3 linked regions of the Stegostoma tigrinum genome follow. The protein of the gene in region 1 interacts with the protein of each later gene in a pairwise test. Links are inferred from orthologs where the notes say so. Each region holds a gene or a part of one and is shown in the gene's direction. Other genes may lie near its edges. The genes, in order: doublesex- and mab-3-related transcription factor 1Y-like, exosc1 and slain1a.

Region 1 (7,055 bases):
ACCTCTGCTATTTGTGATATACATAAATGACTTAGGTGAAAATGCAGATGAATGGGTTAGTAAGTTTGTAGATATTACAAAGACCATGGAGTTGTAGATAGTGTGGAAGATTGTCAAAGGATACAGCAGGATATAGATCAGTTGCAGATATGGGTGCAGAAATGGTAGATGGAGTTTTATCCAGGTAAGTGTGAGGTGCTGCACTTTCGGAGATCAAATGTTAAGGCAAAGTATACAGTTAATGGCAGAAGTCTGAACAGTATTGATGTACAGAGGGATCTTGGGGTTCAAGTCCATAGCTCCCTGAAAGTGGTAATGCAAGTAGATAGCGTGGTAAAGAAGGCATATTGTATACTTGCCTTTATTGGTCAGAGAATTGAGTACAAAAGTCAGGATCTCATGTTGCAGCTTTATAAGATTTTGGTTAGGCCACACTAGGCCACACTGCATTCAATTCTGGTTGCCACATTATAGGAAGGGTGTGGAGGCTTTGGACAGGGTGCAAAAGAGGTTTACAGGATGCTGCCTAGATTGGAGGGAATGAACTATAAGGTGAGGCAAGAAAAACTTGGGTTGTTTTCTCTGGAGTGGCAGATGCTGAGGAATGACAGTCAGAACCATTCTCCCAGTGTTGAAATGTTTAAAATTGAGGAATGCGTTTAAGGTGAGAGGGGAAAAGTTTAAAGGAGATGAGAGGGGCAAGTTTTTTACACAGAGTGGTAGGAGCATGGAACACACTGCTGGGGTAGTGGTGGAAGTAGAAAGGATAGGGACAGTTAAGAGACTTTCCGATAAGCACATGAATATGCAGGAAATGGAGGGATATGGATCAATGGCAGGCAGAAGGGATTAGTTTAATTTGGCGTCATGTTTGGTACAACATCGTGAGCCAAAGGTCCCATTCCTGTGCTGTACTGATCTATGTTCTATGTTTAATATCCTTTTGGTAATGGTATTTAGTAAAGGGTATGTGTAGCCAACTGTAACTCTCAAAGGGCATCACGAACGCGGTTAGAAAACTGCTCCTTTCATTGAGCTTCACTTGCCAGTCATGAACCTTTGCTTCTTGGGTGATGAAGATTTTCACATTTGCATGTTGTGGCAAAATCCCTTTGACTGTAGCATGGGTTGTGATATCACTTCAGGGCTCTATTTCAATCCTTTGGGTTGATTCATACTCTCAATTTTCCAGGTTGTTTCACTGCCAAAATGCAGCAATCCACACTGTAGGAGCTGTCAGATTCTTGATTACTCCCTTTTTCCGGGCTCCTCCCTCTTGTGTTTCAGCCTGGCTTTGCGGGAATTGGTTTTCCGTTCTCATCTGCTTCAAGGTGATATTCTCCTGGAAGACAGCCTTGCCTTGCAAATACATCAATGTACTCCTCTGCCATTTCTTCTACATCAATGGTTTAGTGTACTGTGACGTGTGACAAATGTCTTTGGTACATTGAGGCTTATCACTCCAAGCTTTAAATTTGCCTTGTTGAAATAAGTGTCATATGCTATCTATCTATGATCCGGAACTCAAGATCCTCGATCATTTTGTTGCAACCATTCACAAAGTAACCTGTCCTCTTGGCAAGATGATGGTGCCATGATATAGCCTTAACCTTATTTTGAGGGTTTCCTTAATTTTTGGATCACCGCATTTAACCACTTCCTACAGGTCAATGAGGTCATGATGCACCAATATCTATCTGATACTTCATGTTGACTTGATGTTTTCCTTGTGCAGTCTTCATTCCCATAGTCACAAAGCATGTATCACTCAATAACTTGACTAAATCAACCTACTGACTGATGTAGAGTGATTCATCAGAACCTTCAGCTGACATATCTCCAATGGCCTTCTGCACTTGCTTCTTTTTAGCCATACATGTGTTTACAATGATTCGGCTTCTTGCAGTGAAAACACAGCTTTCTCCACAATGGCCATGCCTCTTCTTCTTTGCATTATGTCCTCTCTGGTACTTTCAAACTGCAATTTTTCTGTAATTGTTCTGTCCTGTCTACCTAGAGTATCTATCAGTGCAATGCTGGAAACCTAGTTTGTTTTGCCATTAATATCCTCAAGCTACAAATTCACAGCCTCAGCACGTCTGCACTTGTCAATTCTCTCTGGAATGTAAGTTTCTCTTGTCTCAGTTGGTGTGTTTTCACTTCTGCATCTCTTATGACTAATACAATCCTGTTTAAGGGGATCATCTTTATTTTGCAACTATTCATAGGTTTCTGCAAGCTGAGTTAATGATGGTACATATTAATCAATGATCTGTTTGTACATTATTCCCTCATTTTAAATATGTGTTGTTTTTCTGTAACATTCACTTAATGCTCAAAGCATGTCTCCAAAGTTTATAAAATTTCTGCCTTTTTTTTCTGCTCTGCAGCAAGATTTAGAGTGGAATATGTTTTGAAACAGTGATAAAAGTATAGTCACTTGTAACCATTCTGTGATAATAAAATGTGACGCTGGATGAACACAGCAGGCCAAGCAGCATCTCAGGAGCACAAAAGCTGACGTTTCGGGCCTAGACCCTTCATCAGAGAGGGTCTTCATCATGATGAAGGGTCTAGGCCCGAAACGTCAGCTTTTGTGCTCCTGAGATGCTGCTTGGCCTGCTGTGTTCATCCAGCCTCACATTTTGAGGCCTTGTTATCACATAGCTAGCCATTACACACTATCTATTGTTAGGCACTAACAGTCTCCGTTAACAGCTGTTGACCCTCTTCGCAAGATTGTTATCAACGGTTTTGTCTATCCAACTACTCTGCTCTCTACTGGGCTCTACCCTTTATCCTGTTTACTCCCTACACCCTCCCCCCTCCCTATCTTCTGCACATAAACCAACATTTTCATCGGTTCTGAGGAACAGTCACCAGACCCAGAATTTTAACTCTGATTTTTTTTCTACACAGATGCTGCCAGACCTGCTGAGCTTTTCCAGCAACTTCTGTTTTTGTTCCTGATTTACATCATCTGCAATTCTTTCAATTTTATTTACCCGATAAGAGATATTTGGGGGATGCAACTCCTGTGGAGGAGGAGAGAAATAGGAGAAGATTTAGGAGAAAGAGAAAGCTTTGCAAAATGCATTCAGTCCAAATGATTATTTTTGTATGCTTCAAATTTAGCTATACACATTTTCCTCGAGGGTAGTTCTGTGACTCATTGCCAAGAACGTCTTGTAACTGATCATCCAGAAATAATCTTGTTTGCACACATCTCCCCCTGCTGGTTATTCAGCATTGAAGCAGCCACGTACAGTTTTAAATACATTTTCCAAGGTAAGTTCACTTTAACCGAAACCGCTAGTGAGGGGTGTTGCTTCATGGAAGCATAATACAGTGCAGCACTGATGACTTGACTCCTACTCCCTTTAACTGAGACAACTGCACTTTGAGTGTGGAATCACTGAATTCAGCTCAATCTTTGCAAAGCAACTGTACATATTTAGTTCTTTCATGAACGGAAGTCATGCCAACTTAACTATAACTATGCCGGACACTGAGGAATGCTGAAATGCCAACATCGCTGCACAAGTGAGACAGAATCTGACTGTTTCTGTTCACTTGCTTGGTATCTCACTAAGTGCAGATTCAAAGTGGGCGGCATCCCCGAAGTGTTTCTAAGAGAGGGTTCAGTGAACTTAGACATGTCATCGTCAAAGGTTCAGCTCCACAAGTTTCCAACCTTTTTAATGTAATGGCATATAGTGAAATCAGGATGAAATATCTGCTACCTCCCTTCTTCATAGTCCAATCAAATGAAAGGGAAGGATGATTCCATTGATTTACGCATGATTGCCAATTGCTTTAATCGTAACTGTAAAAGGGGGAATTGGATGTATAAACTCTATAAATGAAATGAAAAAGAAATACAGAGCAATAGGAGTAAGGGAGTAGGAATAAATGACGATTCTTTCAAAGAGCTGACTCAGGCATAATGGGTCAAAAGGCTTTCCACTGTGCTGTACAAAAAGAGTTCTCAGCTTTAACACTGGGCTAAGAAGACGTAGAGGCACGACAGGATCCCAGTCAAGGGATGGCAATGAGAGAAACAGCCAGGCTTCATTCAGTGGATCATAGTCCAGTGAAAGGTAAATTTTAGCTTAGGGCAGGAGCGAGTGGCGTGAGAGGGATTTGGATATAAAACACAATCCTATTAGCTTATTGCGCAAGAAGACAGTGGATATTAACAGGAATAATGGTGATAGAAATGTGAGAAAGGATGGGGACTGCAGTGTTGTGGATAAGTTGTAGTTTATGGAATGCAAAAGCTGTGAGAACCGCAATGAGTCAAAAGCCAAGATAAGAAAGGCTAAAGAGTAGGGTGTAATCGGGTGTGAATTAAATTGATTGTTTTCAGTTTTATCGTTTATTTTACGCAGGTTTCATATTATAATTTTAACACGTTTCCTGTGTTTTTTTCCTGAGTAGATTAATGTATTTTTCTTCAAGGTTAGTGCTGTCCTCTTGTGGTTGTTTAGCTGCATTACAGAAAGGGAGTGCTCACTTCAAAACAACAGGCTCAATTTTACTAAAAATCAGTTAAGGATCAATTTTGAGGACTTTCATGAAGGGCTTCCCTTCGTGAGCTGTAGCAAGTTATCTCATGCAATTTTCTACTGCCCACTTCAGTATGGATGCTGCGTGATGCTGTGGTGCTGTGTTTTCATTACTCTTGCTCACCATTGGCGGAAATACTCTCCACTGCCAAGATTTCCGTCTGCGGTGCCCTATTTAGAGACGAGCTGTTTACCGGGACAATCACTGCCAGCCACAAATACCCCTTCACTGCACTGTAATTGGAAAGGAAATGAGAAAGAAAATATTCTGAGGGCACATAGGTGCCATGGTAACACTTCATTGTGAGTGGAAGCAAACACTTTTACTATTTTACATCATTAACTGTCTGATCAGATGTGATCGTAACTACAATTACAAGAATCAAGCTACACAGGTTACCTCATTCTTAGCACTATGCCACGCTAGAATCAGAGTGCTACTCTATCCTTAATACCCAATGTAGCAGAGCATTTTTCTATGGTTCAATGTGGGAGCTTCACATGTTGGAAAGCCTTCAAACTGTTTAAGTCATTCATGTTTATTGAATAACACGAAAAGTAAACAAAGAAAAAAGGTGCATTTATTCCTGGGAACAAACAGGGTGTGACTTAGTTTGAGCAACAGCAAATTTTCAGTCAATGAGTGATCGCTCAGCTCACATCTCTTGGAAGGCAGGTGTCAATTAAGGCTTGTCTAACTTATCGTACCCAACGCCACTTTGCTTTATCACACTGAAGATGATATTTCACCTGCTCAATGTCCTCATCTCCTCCTCCTCAGTAGACTGATTCCCCACTCCAAACTCTTCAACATCCCCTCACATCCCCTCTTTCATCTTCTCCCGTTGTGCAGAGCATATGCTTGGATTATATGCATGGTCTGTCTGGAACGAACTGCAAGGCCCCCTATACCAATCCAAACAATGGAGCTTCATTTTTGGGTAGCCTGTCATCTGCTCCATAATGGCCCTGGTGGAAGAATAGGTTGCACTGTATCAATATTTGACCTCAGCCAGGGAGATGCAGAATGGAGTCACTAGCCGTGGTTGTAGGGGTTAGCCTTTGTCTCTCAGTAGCAGCCTTGGAAGGTATCCAGCCCTTAAAATGAAGTGAAAACATGAAGTTCTCAAAGATAGAGGCATCATGACAGCTCCCAGGGTACCTAGTACAGAATTCAAAGAAGTGGTACAGCAGAACACTTTTTTGTTGATGAAGTCAGTCATGTTATGATAATGATGCTCTCAGCATAATATGTTTACAGTTTATAGTGCCATGCACCTGACGAAAGCCAGCTACATTGGCGATGCCTACCACCTGGGCTACAGCATTGATCTTGTCACGGGAAATGAGATGAAATGTGTGATCTGGAAGAAATTGCATCAGTAACAACCTTGATACATTTGGGGTTGAGAAATTGAGAGATATCATATTGTCGATTCTTGGAAGCTGCTAGGTGCATAAATGTTTAATGTTCCCTTGTTGGCCACTGGGATACGATGGTCATCCATCCCTTCAGGTTGCAAGTTCTGCTTCAGCAGATGGTACAGTTCAGTGCCCTAGAACAGTGTTCTGGCATGCCCACAGGTAGAGGTGGCAGTGCACTCTGCTCATTTAGAGAAAATAACATTGAGGACAATAGACACAAAACATCCTCCTTTCTCTGCATCTTGAGGGGAACTTCAGTGGTGACTTCTTCAAAAAGAGAATATTTGACTGGAGCTGGAGATTGCTTACTGGCACATTTTTTTCTCCTTGATTTTCTGCACCTTTGTTGCATTACAATTGCAGTACTGGTTGTGCTGCTGTGGTTGGATCCATTGGTCTTGGTTCCATGAACCTCTTTGGGGAATATCAGAAACAGAACAGAACTGTGTGAGCAGTCAGCATTTGCATCACATATAATGACAATTTAGTACAGTTCTCCTTACAGTGGGATGTGGTGGATTCTGACAATGAGGACCATGAAATGCCTTGACGTAGACCTTTGACATAGTGGACCTTATTCTGATGTATGCAACAGGAACCAACCCCACATCACCTAAGGAAGGCAGCATTGCATGTAAGTTGTTGTTGGCAAACACTTGCTTCAAAGTGAGAAGAAATCAGCTCTGTGCCTTTGAGACCATAGACTGTCTTTGTGCTTTGTGGTCTGCAGGTCATGTGTGATTATTTCTCTTTCATAGAAATGACTATGATATAATAATCCACAATATGGTCCAAATTGCTTGTGGCCAGGGTTTGTATCCTGCAAGTGGAACTATGATTTTATAATTACAAATGTCTTTAAACTGTACTGTGTAAGTGCCTAATTAATGCAATTTCTCCTTGAGGGGCTTCACATTTCAAAAAAATAGAGCCAATATGCTCAAACTGAAAAAGAAATACTCACTTTGCCTAGATAACAAGGTGTGGAGCTGGATGAACACAGCAGGCCAAGCAGCATCATTGTAGCAGGAAAGCTGAAGTTTCAGGCCTAGACCCTTCTTC
Region 2 (7,522 bases), on another chromosome or scaffold:
AAATGTAAAATCTCAAAATGTATAGGTGACACATAACTGGGTGAAAATGTGACCCACGAGGAGGATGCAAAAATGTTGCAGTATGATTTTGAAAGGCTGAGTGACTGGGCAAATGCAACATAGTGTGGGTAAATGTGAGGCTACCTACTTTGGCAGTAAGTATATAAAAGCACATTATTACTTGAATGGCTGTAAATTGAGAGAGGGAAATATTCAACGAAATCTGTATATCTTTGTGTACCAGTTGCCTAAGTAAGTGTGCAAGCGCAGGAAAGAAGACAAAATATATTTGGCCTTCACAATGAGAGAATTCAAATACAGGAACAAGAATATCTTGCTGCAATTATACAGGGCATTGGTGAGTCCATACCTGGAATATTGTGTTCAGTTTTGGTCTTCTTTTCTGAGGAAGAATGTTCATGCTATAGAGGGAGCAGGAATGGTTTACCAAACTGATTCCTTGGATGGCAAGGTGATGCATGTGGAGAGATTAAATCAGTTAGGTCGTATTCACTTTGGTTGAGAACAATGAGGGGATTTCTCATACACACCTATAAAATTCTAATGGAATTAGTTGGGTTTAATGCAGGATGTTCCTGATGGTAGGGGGTCCATAACTAGGGGTCATCATTTAGGAATAAGGTGTAACACTTTTAGGACTGAAATAAAGAGAAATTTCTTCACCCAAAGAGAAAGGCACCTGTGGATTTCACTACCCCCAGAAGGTGATTGAGGAAAACATTTCAAGGAGATAGATAGAATTTTTGTGGCTGAAGAAATCAAGTGATATCAGGAGACAGGAAGAATAGGGTATTGAGCTTGATGAATGGTGGAGCAAGCTCAAGGGCTCGAATGGCCTACTCCTGCTCCTACTTTCTATGTTTCTAGTCCAACCATTAAAGGTAATTAAAGTCCCCCATAATGGCTATTCAACTATGCTTATACATTTCTGCAATGTCCTTGCAGATTTTTCTCTCTCGAGATTTTTAAGCCATTTGCCAGGGTTGGAGAGTTTGAGCTGTAGGGAGAGCTGAATGGACAGGGGCTTTTTCCTCTGGAGCATTGGAGGCTGAGGTGTGGCCTTATGGAGATTTATAAAATCATGAGGGCAATGGACAGGGTAAATAGACAAGGTCTTTTCCTTGGGGTGGGAGGAGTCCAAAACTAGAGGGCATAGCTTTAAGGTGAGAGGGGAAAGATTTAAAAGGGACCTCATGGGAAACTTTTTTATGCAGAGGGTACTGCATGTATGGAATGAGCTGCCAGAGGAAGTGGTACAATTACCACATTTAAATCTATCTGGATGGGTATATGAATTGGAAGGGTTTACAGGGATGTGAGCCAAATGCTGGCAAATGAGACTAGATATATTTAGGATATCTTGTCAGCATGGATGAGTAGGACCGCAGGGCCTGCTTCAGTGCTGTATATCTCTATGACTCTAGATCCTTCCCACTAGTTAGTGGTCTACGGCTCACAGCGGGCAACGTAACTGCACTCTTCTTATTCTTTAGTTCCACCTGAATCAATTCCATCCCTGAACATTCTGAAATGTCCTCCTTCTCCTATATTGCAAGACTCTCCTTAAGAAAAAGACTCCATATTCCCTTATTTTTAAATATTTTCAATCTTTTTGTATACCTTGTAACCAAGAACATTTAGCACCCAGACCATCCCTTTCTAGAAATAATGGATGCATTGATGGCATCTTCCAGGATTCTTCAAACTCTGGAACAGTCCCTGCAGATTGCAGGGGAGCCATAGGTCACTCCAGTAATCAAAAAGGGAGGTAGAGAAGAAAACAGGAAATTATAGATCAGGAAGCCTAACATCTATAGTGGGGAAAATTCTCAAATCCATTATTAAGGACTTTATAGCAGAGCATTTAGAAAGCAGTAGCAGAATTGGACAGAGTCAGTATAGATTTATGAAAGGGAAGTCATGCAAATCTGTTGAAATTCTATGAAGATGTAACTAGTAGGGTTGACAAGGTGGGGGGCAGTCAATGTTGTATGTTTAAGATTAATGTGCACGGGATTGGCAGAAGTGTATTAAGATGGATAGAAAACAGGTTGACAGAGAGGAAACAAACAGTAGGAATTAATGAGATAATGGGAACTGCAGATGCTGGAGGATCTGAGAGAACAAAGTGTGGAGCTGGATGAACACAGTATGCCAAGCAGCATCTTAGGAGCACAAAAGCTTTTACGTTTCGGGCCTAGACCCTTCATCAGAAAAGGGGATGGGGAGAGGGTTCTGAAATAAATGGGGAGAGAGGGGGAGGCGATTGAAGATGGATAGAGGAGAAGATAGGTTGGCAGGCAGTAACTAGCTGGGTGTTGCAGGGATTAGTGCTGGGATCCCAGCTATTCACAATATATATTAATGATTTGGATAAAGGAACAAAATGTAATATCTCCAAGTTTGCAGACGATACCAAGTTGGGTGGGAGGGTGAACTGTGAGGAGGATGCAGAGATCCTCCAGCATGATCTGGACAAGTTCGGTGAGTGGGCAAATGAATGGAAAATGCAGAATAATTTGAATAAATGTGAGGTTGTTCACTTTGGATGTAAAAACAAGAAGGCAGATTACTACCTAAATGGCTGAAAATTGAGAGGGGAGTGTGCAGCAGGACCTGGGTGTCCTTGTGCATCTTGTCACTGAAGACAAGCATGCAAGTGCAGCAGATTGTAAAGAAGGCAAATGGGAAGTTGGCCTTCGTTGAAAGAGGTTTCAAGTACAGGAGCAGGGATGTGTTGTTGCAGTTATACTGGGCCTTGGTGAGGCCACAACTAGAATATTGTGTGCAGTTTTGGTCGCCGATTCTGAGGAAGGATGCTCTCGCTCTCGAGGAATACAGCAAAGGTTTACCAAGCTGATTCTGGGGATGTTGGGTCTGATATATGAGGAGAGATTGACTAAGTTATGATTATTTTCACTGGAGTTCAGATGAATGAAGAGGGATCTCAATAGAGACTAATAAAATTCTAACAGGACTTGACAGGGTAGAAGCAGGGACAATGCTCCTGATGGTGGGTGTGTCCAGATCCAGGGGTTACAGTCTTGATTTGAGGTAGACCATTGAGGACAGAGATGAGGAGACATTTCTACACCCAAAGAGTGGTGAGCGTGTGGAATTCATTACCACAGGAAATAGCCAATGCTAAAATATTTAAGGTATTCAAGAGGCAGGTAAATATAGCACTTGGGGCGAATGGGATCATAGGTTATGGAGAGAAAGCAGGATTAGGCGATCAGTTGAATGATCAACCATGATCGTGATGGATGGCAGAGCAAGCTCGAAGGGCTGAATGGGTTCCTCCTTTTCCTATCTTCTATGTTTCCTTGAGCCAGATCTCCAATATTTTACTTTCACAATCTACCATGGAAATATGTGCCTGTAACTTCCCAATCTTATTCACCATACTCAGTCCATGCACGTACATGCAGAGCAACCCTAATTTACGGTTCACTACCATCTCCATTATGTTGACTCCACATATTACTTCTATTCTCACACAATCTGCCTCCCCCAGCATCTTTTTGTACTCTGCCATTTCCTTCTAACGTTCTCTGCTGGTTCCCACTCCCCTGCGTAAACCCTTCAAGCAGTCAGGATCCTTCTTCGGAACTGCTCTGAAGAAGGGTCCCAACCCAAAATGTCGACTTTCCTACTCCTCTGGTGCTACCTGACATGTCGTGGGCCTCCAGTTCCATACTGTGTTGACTCTGACACCAGCATCTGCAGATCTTGGGATCTTTTTGCCTGTCTCCCTAAGACTGCCATAGCCACTGCGAGCACTGAAACCTGGAGCTCAAGCTTGCAGTGGCCCCACTTCCTCCACATGGGCTCATCAAGGTCATTTAGAATGTCCACACATGCAACAGCATGCATATTCCACTTGGCTGATCTGTCCTGCCATAATCTTAACCTATACTTTTAAGAAATTTTACTTGCTAAAACTTTAGTTTCCTTCTTTTAACTTTACTTTGATACTATTGACTTTAAAATAGAGATGAGTAAACAAAAAACAATTCTTTGCCCTTAATCATAAATCCCCTCTCCAGCGCCTGTTAATTCTTACTTTCCCTGTGCTAGTTTAGATACATTTTTTTCAAACTCGAATTGAAATGAATTTTCAGCTACTCAACAATATTAACCTCAGGACTTTCCTATGATATTGCTCAGAGGTTTACGTCCCGCCAGCCCACACTGTTTTATCTGGTGCTGGATGGAAATGAAACAGTACGGGGACCAATGTGAACTGTATTAAACTTTGACAAATAAAGCAATAGACACAAATGGAGATGAACATCATAGTCAGCTGAGAGTTTCGTTGTTTTCTCTCAGACGAGGAGCAGCCAGGGAGAGACAGAGAGGTCAGTACTGGAGGGTTGTGACGGGGGGGATGAGGAGGGAAGGCCTCGGGGCCGGGGAATTCAGGGAGACGAGATTGAAGACCCGAGGGCAGGATCCCGACCCGGGTTAGGGACGGGAGTATGGAGGAGATCCTGAACCAAGCCCAGAGAGAACAGGATAAAAGCCGGAGAGAGCCATGAGGCGAAGAGATTTGATGTCGCGAATCCGTCCCGGCCCTAGCAACCAACCTCAGCCAATCCGCTCGTCCTTTACTACCAGTGTCCGCGCGAGCCAATCCGTTCGCCCCTTACTACGAGGGTCTGCGACAGCGTGTTCTCCCCGGTTCTGTGAAGCTGTGATGGCGCCGCTGAAGCTCTGCATCCCAGGTACCGGCAGACTTCAAGAGCGGAGCAGGGATGGGATGTGTAAGAAGTAGGAACAGAGTAGGCCTTTCGACCTCTCGAGCTTGCTTCGCCGTTCGTAAGGATCGTGGCTGATCCCACACACCTCCTGTCTACTTGCCTGCTCTATTCCCATAATGATCCTTTCCCTACTAATCAAAAGTCTATCTGTCTCAACCTTAAATATACACCGTTTTTACTGTGGATTGAGAAATGGACGTTAGTGAACTCAGGGAAATAAATGTTGATCTTTTGAAAACAGTTCACATTACAGATGAGGAAGTGCTGTAGGTCCTAGAAAACGTAAATGTGGATAAGCCTTCGGGATCTGATCAAGCGTATCCCAGAACGTTGTAGGAAGTTGAGGAGGAAATTGTGGGCTCCCTAGCAGAAATATTTGTCTCATGTATAACCACAGGTGAGGTGCCTGAGGAGTGGGGGGAGGTTAACGTTTTGCCGTTATTTAAGAAAGGCTGCAAGGAAAAGCCAGGAAATTATAGACCCGTGTTTGAGACCAGTAAGTTGTTAGAGGTGATTCTGAAAAGTAGGATTTACATGCATTTGCAGAGGTAGTGAATGATCAGGAAGAGTGAGCATAGCTTTGTGCAAGGGAAATCACATCTCACAAACTTGATTTTTTTTGAGGAAGTAATCAGAAAGATTAATCAAGGAAGAGCAGTAGACATTGTTTACTTTGACTTTAGTAAGGCCTTTGATATGATTCCACATGGTAAACTAATCAGTAAAGTTGAATCACATGGAATTCAGGGTGTACTTGCCAATTGGATACAAAATTGAACGTAGGAAATGGACAGTGGTGTGGAGGGTTGTTTTTTTGGTCTGGATGCTTGTGATCACGGGTTCGACAGGGATTGGTACTGGGTCCACTTTTGTTTGACATTTGTATAAATGATTTGGGTGAGAATATAGGAGGCATGGTTAGTAAGTTAGTGGATGGCACCAAAATTAGTGGCATAATGGACAGAGGAAAAGGTTATCTAAGATTACAAAGAGATCTTGATCAATTGGGCCAATGGGCTGAGGAGTGACAGATGTAGTTTAATTTGGATAACTGCAAGGTATTGCATTTTAGTAAAACAAACAAGGGCAAGACTTATTCAATTAATGGTAGGGCTCCTGGGTAGTGCTGTAGAACAAGGAGACCTTGGGATTCAGGTATATAATTCTTTGAAATTTGCATCACAGGTATACAGGATAGTTAAGGGACAAAGGTAAGGTGAATAGCAAAGTTGTTTTCCCTAGTGTGGAGGATTTTAAAATTAGGGAGCATATTTTTGAGGTGAGAGGAGAAAGTTTTAAAAAGAACGTGAGGGGCAGCTTAATTCACAGAGTTGTTTGTGTGTGAAATGAAGTGCCAGAGGATGTAAGATAACAAAATTTGGGGCTGGATGAACACAGCAGGCCAAGCAGCATCTTAGGAGCACAAAAGCTGACATTTTGGGCCTAGACCTGCAGATATAGTTACAACATTGAAAAGACATTTGGATAAGATTAAGAAAAGTTCAGAGAGTTAAGGGCCAAGTACATGCAGGTGGGTCTAGTTTAGTTTGGGAACATGGTCAATGTGGACTGGTTAGACTGAAGGGTCTCTTGCCATGCTGCATGACTGTGACTAGGACTCTGCCCCCACAGCTGTTTATGGCAGGGAATTCCAAAGACACTCAACCCTCTACTAAAAGAAATTTCTCCTTGTCTCAGTCTTAAATTGGTGCCTCTTTATCCTGTGACTATGCTTTCTCATCCTAGACTCATGAGGGAAAACATCCAGTTGGCATTTACCATGTCAAGCTACGTAAGAATCCTATTATTGTGTCTTCCAGTAAGATTATGCAAGAGAAGGGCTTCTGAGCCCAGGGTTCATCCACACCGTCTGCTTTCCCATTTTTTTTGTCTTCTTTCTCTCTCTTTTGTTTCTTTTTTACTCTTTAGTTTTATCTTATTTCCCTTTTGCTGAAGAGCTTGGGCTCAGTAACAGCATTGCTGACGGGTTGGCCCAGCAGTATGGACTGATGGCAGCAATGTTGGAGGCGAGTTTGTGTTCCCGCATCTTGTGCATTGTGGAGGCGCTCCTAGTGCTGATTCATGACTGCTGCGGCAGAGGTGAATTGGGCCCAGCATGAGACCTGACGGCAGCAGCTGCATGTTGAGGTGGGTCGACGCAGACTCAAGGTGGCAGCTGAGTCAAGTTCAGGTCAATGCATAAAGGGAGGCATTGGTGGCATCCTTATTGGCAAGGCCCAGTTAGGATTCATCTTGGCAGTGCCATTGCTGGAGGTGAAATGGTGCCAAAGAGTGGCGTCGTTTGGTGCAGCAGTGGCAGCACGGTGAAGGAGGTGCCTGGTCACCAGGCCCATGGCCCATGTTAAAGCACTTAACAAGAAGGACTATAAATTAGACAATATAGTGTGGAGCTGGAGGAACACAGCAGGTCAAGCAGCTCAAAGGAGAGTTTTCTGAAGAAAGGTTCTGACCCAAAATGTCACCTTTCCTGCTCCCCGTTGCTCCCTGGCCTGCTGTGTTCCTCCAACTCCACACTGTGTTGCCTTTGACTCCAGCATCTGCAGTTCTTGCTATCTCCTTGTAAGTTAGACACTTTTTGTTCTCATTTTTCTGCCTTTATATTCTATGGTTTGGTTTTTTATTTGTTTTAAGATGCTCCCAGAGAGTGGTGCCACTTTTCAATGTATTTTTGTAACAAGTTACATGTGACAATAAATCAAATAGTAACGCTGACTTGG
Region 3 (7,493 bases), on another chromosome or scaffold:
GATGACATTTTGTGCACTGCTAACTTACTGCAATTTGCTAATGAAGCCATACAAACCATCAGCAGGGCACACATATGCATTTCAACACCCTCTGAAGCCTTTTTCTCCAACAACTATCACTCATTCCATCCAGCACCAATATGATCTGTGAATAGCTTGTTGAGGCATCCATCAAAAGGTTGAACTATGGACGTTAAACTTCTTGGTAAAGCTGCATTACAGGTGCTATATTTTCATAGACGCCTGTGGAACTCGTTGGTTATAAAGGATCTGAGCACGACCAGTATTAATAAACTGCATTTTTTACATAGGCCATCCAGACTGCTATTCAACACACCATCAGTCCACAAATTCAGTTTATTCGATTCATCCAGCCATTGATATGAATGCACTCAAGAAGAAGAATGGTAGAATTTGAGTTTCTACAGGATTTACATTTGAAAATTATGATAGACATTATTCCGTTCACGGCCATTTCACCCATGTTGCTGATGTGACATGATGGGTACTTACTCTTCTGCTGTTTGATGAATCACCCTAACCGTCATTTTAACATTAGCGTCCTTTAGTAGTTTCTGAGCAATCTTGGACTTTAGTCAGATCACTATATTGGTTTGTTCCATATACCTGCTATATCATTAATTAGCTGAGATAAAAAAGTGCGCGGCTGGATGAACACAGCAGGCCAAGCAACATCTTAGAAGCACAAAAGCTGACGTTTCGGGCCTAGACCCTTTGGCCCGAAACATCAGCTTTTGTGCTCCTAAGATGCTGCTTGGCCTGCTGTGTTCATCCAGCCCCACACTTTGTTATCTTGGATTCTCCAGCATCTGCAGTTCCCATTATCTGAAATATCACTAAATAGCTGTTGGTCTGAACTTAACTATTCATTTGACCCACTTAAATGTTTATGTATACATCACAGTCCATATGAGGGTATAATCATTCCAATGATTTTCTAGCACTTGTTCTGATACATAGAGGTCAAATCATCGGCTTGTCCCAGCTCTTACAGTGCGTTTGGATGAGGTTTTTTTCTTCAGTGTGGATTTTTTTTTCCATACTCACTTTTTTTTCGCATGAAACAGCAAATTCTCTCTCTGCAAGGCAGTAAATTGTTGTGTTTGCAAACCATAGGATATTTCACTGGAAACTGGCTTTCAACTTAATTCATTTTCCACAGGGATCCTTTTCTGTTTGTCACTCATGTTGCCACGTGTGCTCTGGTCCATGTGAGCATATGTGAAACTCCCATTCACCTTCTTCATAACACTGCGTACTGCCTGATCCCATGCACTGACTTATGATAAAGGCACAGAAAACACATTTCTCTGGTCAAAAATTGAAGCTGACTATGAATATTAATAAAGCATGCAGGGGTGCCAAGAGGAATCACCCTAATTGCCAAGTATAGGCAATTCCAAGTTTTGGAACTGAAGAGAACATAAGAAATAAGAGCAAGATGCCATTTGGCATAGTAGGCTGTTACACTAATGAACAGAATCATAGATAATCTGCCAGTCTTTCATAGCCATTTTTTCTCTGTGCTAATTAAAAATTTGTCCAACTCAGCCTTTAATATATTCAATGACAGTCTCCACTGCTCACTGGGGAGAGAATTCTAACTGCCAATGGCCCTTCACAAAGCATAAAAAAACCTTCTGATATCTTTATTTTAACCTGTGTGACTCAGTTATGATTCTCCGCCAGAGTATACAGCCTCTCAGCATTTATGCTGTCAAACCCTTCTCATGATTGTACATGTTACAATAAGATTACCCTTCAGATTTTTAAAATTCTAATGGCTATAGGTGAAACCTGCTCAACATTTCTTCATACAACCATCCTTTCATTCCAGGGATCAGCTTAGTGAACCTTTTTTGAACTGCTTCCAACACAAGTAAATCCATAATCCACCACCATCCCCAACCCCGCCACCCCCGAGCTTTTGTAAACAAAACTGCATGCAGAACTTGAGGTGTGGTCTCTGTACAGTTGCAGCAAATAAGGACAGGACTTTGACATTCCATCTCGTTTGCAATAAAGGCTAATGTTCAGTTTGCTACTGTATTGCAGCTACTTACTGCATCATTTATATAAATGATTTGAATGCGAGCATAGGAGGGATGGTTATTATGTTTCTAGATGCATCAAAATTGGTGGCATAGTACCTAGTGAAGAAGACTATTTCAGAGTACAATGGGATCTTGATCAGATGAGCAAATGGGCCAAGGAGTGGTAGATGAAGTTTAATTTAGATAAATGTGTGGTCCTACATTTTGGAAAGGAAAATCAAGGCATGACTTATACACTTTATGGTAAGATCCTGTGGAATGTGGCCGACCAAAATGACCTTGGGGTGTAGATTCATAGTTCCTTGGAAGTGGAGTCACTGGTACATAGAAACATAGAAGATAGGAGCAGGAGGAAGACATTCTGCCCTTCAGGTCTGCTCTGCCATTCTTCACAATCATGGGTGATCGTCCAATTCAATAGCCTAATCCTGCTTTCTCCCTATAACCTTTGATCTTATTCGCCCCAAGTACTATATCTAGTCACCACTTGAATACATTCAATTTTTTGGCATCAACTACTTCCTGTTGTAATTAACTTCACAGGTTCACCACACTTTGGGCCCTGGTTCTGGACACACCCACCATTGGGAACATCTTCGCTGTATCTCCACTGTCTAGTCCTGTTAGAATTTTATAAGTCTCTGTGAGATTATTTTCTCAGTTGTCTGAACTCCGGTGAAAGCAACCCGAACCTAGTCAATCTCTCCTCACGTCAGACCTGCCGTCACTGGAATCAGCCTGGCAGGCAGAAGAGGCTCAGGTAGATAGGATAATGAAGAAGGTGTTTGGTATGTTTGCCTTTATTGGTCAGTGTATTGAGTTTAGGAGTTGGGAGGTTCTGTTACAGGTGTACATGGGACATTGGTTAGGGCAGTTTTGGAATACTGCATTCAATTCTGGTCTCCCTGCTAAAGGAAACCTGTTGTGAAACTTGAAAGGATTCAGAAAAGATTTGCCAGTGTTAGAGCTTTTGAGCTATAGGGAGAGGCTGAAAAGGTTGGGGCTATTTCCTCTAGAGCATCGGAGGCTGAGGGGTGACCTTATGGAGGTTTATAAAATCATTAGGGGCATGGATAGGGTGAGTAGCCAAAGCTTTTTCCCCAGGTTTGGGGAATCCAAAACTAGAGGGTATTGGTTTAAGGTGAGAGAGAAAGCTTTGAAAGGGACCTGAGGGGCAACTTTTTCGTGCAGAGGCTGGTGTGTGTATGGAATGAGCTGCCAGAGGAGGTGGTGGAGGCTGGTACAATTACAACATTTGAAAGGCACCTGGATGGGTTTAGAGGGATTTGGGCCAAATGCTGGCAAATGGGACTAGATCAGTTTCGGATATCTCATTGGCACAGATGAGTGCCACGGACTGAAGGGCTTGTTTCCATGCTGCATATTTCTATGAGACTATGAACTTGACTCTTTGTGATTCATACATAAGGCTAACCTATCCACATGTACAGCAGCATTCTGTAGTCTCTCTCCATTTAGAGAACGGTTTTATTGTACTCTTCCTAGCACACAGACTTACAACTTCACAGAAGGTACTCAGCCTACTAAACCATGGCCAACTCACTCAGTCTATGTGTACATGTGCTGGAATGCTTTACCTGCGTATCACGATGCATGATTTGCACGATCATATTTTGCGCTGAGTATATTTCCTATGTGCAACTTCACACCCAATTGACGCTGTCGAAATCACGGTGACAAGAACAGAAATGGATGGGAAGAGCTCAGCAGGTCTGCCAGCATCCGTGGAGAGATAGGAGAGTTAACGTTTCGAGTGCAGTGATCCTTTTTCAGAACAGCGAGCCTCACAGCAGGACGCATGTACTGTTGAAGCACACGCAGTTTTGCAACAATAAAACTGCAACAGATTATCGCATGTGACACCCACAAAAAAAACTGAATAAAGAACGATGCGGCAGTGATCCGGAGGCGGGGTGTTGGGGGAGTTCGTTGTGTCTCCGTTACCATTCAGGCGACGACACTCCTTTGATATGGGCGGCGCTTTCGTGAAATAACACCCCCACCCTCCCAAAAAAAATCTTGCAATAAGATCGATTGCGGACTGATAGGGGAGAACGGGGTAGAAGAAGGGTGTCGCCTGATAGCATTTTTAAAAAAAACACATACAGACGGAATACAGTGCTGGCTGGTGTGTGAGTGTTGGCAGAGATCGTAATGGAGAGGAGGGTTTTGCAGACCTGAGTCGCAATATGCGCCTGTTCTTTGTTGTGTAGGAGAGAGAGAGAGGCAGGGAACTGGGGGAGATCGAAAGGCAGCGGCTCCTGTTCGTCCCCATCGAAGCTTTAATCACAAGAAGAGGCTTTTATTTTGGGAGGAGGAGTGGGGGGGGGGGGGGTGGTGGTGGCGGGAAGGGATGGAGGCGCCTCTGCTGAAGGTGATGGGGGCTACAGCGGGGGATGTCAGCTCCAAGGTGAGTGCCGAGCTGGAGGTGAAGAAGCTGCAGGAGCTGGTGAGAAAACTCGAGTGGCAGAACGAGCAGCTGAAGAGCAGGGCCAGTGCCGCCGCCGCTACCTCCTCCTCCTCCTCTCCTACGGCTCTCCTGTACCCTCCCGGCAGCCCGGTTTACTGCCCTGCACCTCCCCCGGGCTCGGCAGCTTACCCTGGCGGTACCGGCAGCAGCAGTAACTACCCGCCCACCGCTCACTGCCGGCAGCCTCCCGGCACCAGCGAAGCTTCTCCCCGCTCACTGGGCTCCAGTGGCTCGGCCAGGCTGCTCCTCGACGAAGTGGACACCCTGGACCTAGACAACGGGGGCTGCAGCGGAAACGAGGACAACTGGTATCGTTCTATTTGTCTCTCCATTTTTACTGCCTTTGTCACCAGCTTGCAAAATATCCATTTTTATTATACACTGGTGGGCGAGCTCAGTGTCGTTTCCTCTTCTTTTCTTTACCTTTCCTCATCTTCTGTCCATCCTCGTCCTCCTCATTTTCTCCCCAGTCTTCCTCCTCCTCATCTTCTCTTCATCCTTCTCCCCATCATCATTTTCTCCCCAGGCGTCCTCCTCCTCCTCATCTCCCCATCCTCCTCATCCTCTTCAGTCCTCTTCCTCCTTATCTTCTCACCAGTCCTCCTCCTCCTCATCTCCTCCCCTGTCCTCTTCCTTCTCCTCATCTTCTTCTCCCCTGTCCTCCTCCTCATCATCTCCCCAGCCCTCTTCCTCCCTGTCCTCCTCCTCTTCCTCATCTTCTTCCCAGTCCTCCTTCTTCATCCTCATAATCTTCTCTTCTGTCTTCCTCCTCATCTTTTCCCCATTCTGCTCCTCATCTTCCCCCCAGTTGGCCAATGTATTCACACCCCCATCCTCACTCTCTCTGTCACTCCCATCCCCTTCCTCCCTCCCCCTAACTTCTCCTTACCATTCATTATATCTGTCAGCGTCATTTGACAAGAAGTTGCCATTTCTACTTTGTTAAATTGCGCAAGACTTCTCCTTATGTTTGTGTCACCAGTGCACACTGTGTACACCTCTTGTCTTTCACCACTTGCCTGTTATAATTTATAGGCATTGGCCAATTGACATGAGACTCTGTTTAATAATAAAGCAGTTTCACCCTGCCATAGATTTAGGTTGGCTGGTCTAAAGTGTATTTTTCTGATCTTTCAATACTGCTTGATTGTTAATCTGAAAAGGTCAGTAACCATAGTGAAAATCAAATTTGTTATTTACGAGTTTAGCTTTTACATTAAAAATTTAAATATAACCTAAAATTATTGTGTGTGGGCAGTGGTTTGCTAGTCATTGTATTTGAAAATAGTATTTTAACAGTTCCTGTGAGTTACAAGCCTACAGGGACAGATTTTAAGGTTGACTAGAGAATGCTAGAAATAGTGGAAAGTGAGAATATAGGAATCCTTTAATGAGCTCTCGGCCCTCAATTCCAGTGATCAAAAATAACTGATGTTGCATACTTATCTGGAAGATTCTAAACCATTCTCGTATTTTGCGCTGTATTTGAGTTCTGAGGAAGGGCCACTGGACCCGAAATGTTAACTTTGTTTTTTCCTTCACAGATGCTGCCAGACCTGCTGGGCTTTTCCAGCAACTTTGTTTTGTTCCTGTATTTTGCATTAGTTTGCTTTGTCGACACCTGTATTGTTTTGACTTGCTTTTTTTCCCCAAAGACACAATAGTGACTACACTCAGTTGCTTCAGTGTCATCAAACATTAACATAAATGCCCTATAGCATCATCAATATAATAAGCATGCAAAGTTGTTGAAATATCATGAGCGGAATCTCATAGTGGCCTGAATGACATGGGTTATGTTCAGATTTATGACCGGATTGTGTGAGAAGTCTGCTGAGGCCCAACTTGATGTTGGGAGCAACTCATTGTATCTGTTGAGTGGGGAAGAGAGTGTCTGCAAAGGCAGTGGCAAGCGGCAAATTAGGGCAGTTTGAAGCTTGTAAAGTACCTTATTAATAGCAGAAATGGTTTCATTAATATTCTACCTTACAAAGCACAATGAAGACAGCAACTTAAGCTCAGTGTTTGTTCCAGAGGACGTCTGTACCACCAACACAGTGCACACTCCATGGGCACTGGACACATGTACCCCACATCTAAGTACGTTGACAGTTAACATGCCCAGTTTCTGAGAAGCTTCATTGGACTTCCTCGATCCACAATTGCTTCTGCACTTAATGCTGCATCTTGAGTGGCACCAGCAGCTATTATTGTAATGGTGTGCTCAGGGACACACAACTATTTTGTGGACTGGACCAGGCTGTATCTCTGGCCTGTCCCCTTACTTGTCATAGCACTCCTTCACTCTGTGACTACCTGGATGCTCATAACATCCCTGCCTTGCCTTAGTATACTTTGCCCCCTCAGCTAGAGATACCAGGCTCACAGTAATGTGTATTGTCTTGCCTTTTAGCACAGCCATAAAGCCAGGAAGCTTGTCTTGCTTGTCAGCAGCCCTCAGTAAAGTGAAGGGGGATAGCCTTTGCTCAAGGCTGTCTTGACCCAAATCCCTCCAAGTGTTTATTTTTCACATACTTATCTAAATGTCTTCTAAAAGTTGTAACTTACCCGCATCCACCAATTCCTCTGTAAGTTCATTCCGCACATGAAGCTACACTGTGCGTTAAAAAATTGCCTCTCATGTCTTTTTTAAAGTCTTTCTACTGTCACCTTAAAATTATGCCCACTAGTCTTGAAATCACCCACCCTAGGAAAAAGACACTTGTCATTTACCTTATCTCTACCCCTCATGATTTTATAAATCTTTTAAAAGTCACCCTCAACCTCCTACGTGAAAAAAAGGTCCCAGTCTATCCAGCCTCTCCGTATAACTCTAACCCTCCATTCCCAACAACATTCTGGTAACTCTCTTGTGAATCCTCTCCAACTTAATAGTATCCTTTCCGTAACAGGGCAACCAGAACTGG

The links.
Region 2: the proteins of doublesex- and mab-3-related transcription factor 1Y-like (region 1) and exosc1 interact in a two-hybrid assay, tested with the Homo sapiens proteins (2 studies listed by BioGRID). The link is inferred for Stegostoma tigrinum from reciprocal best matches to the Homo sapiens genes DMRTB1 and EXOSC1.
Region 3: the proteins of doublesex- and mab-3-related transcription factor 1Y-like (region 1) and slain1a interact in a two-hybrid assay, tested with the Homo sapiens proteins (2 studies listed by BioGRID). The link is inferred for Stegostoma tigrinum from reciprocal best matches to the Homo sapiens genes DMRTB1 and SLAIN1.

What each region holds. Positions count from the first base shown.
Region 1 is NC_081361.1:42,266,053-42,273,107, reverse strand, and holds the start of doublesex- and mab-3-related transcription factor 1Y-like, read left to right. Parts: upstream 1-3,988; 5' UTR 3,989-4,100; intron 4,101-7,055.
Region 2 is NC_081373.1:12,450,465-12,457,986, reverse strand, and holds the start of exosc1 (exosome complex component CSL4), read left to right. Parts: upstream 1-4,483; 5' UTR 4,484-4,558; coding exon 4,559-4,748; intron 4,749-7,522. UniProt on the Homo sapiens protein: Non-catalytic component of the RNA exosome complex which has 3'->5' exoribonuclease activity and participates in a multitude of cellular RNA processing and degradation events.
Region 3 is NC_081359.1:28,293,854-28,301,346, forward strand, and holds the start of slain1a (SLAIN motif-containing protein 1a), read left to right. Parts: upstream 1-4,449; coding exon 4,450-4,874; intron 4,875-7,493. UniProt on the Homo sapiens protein: Microtubule plus-end tracking protein that might be involved in the regulation of cytoplasmic microtubule dynamics, microtubule organization and microtubule elongation.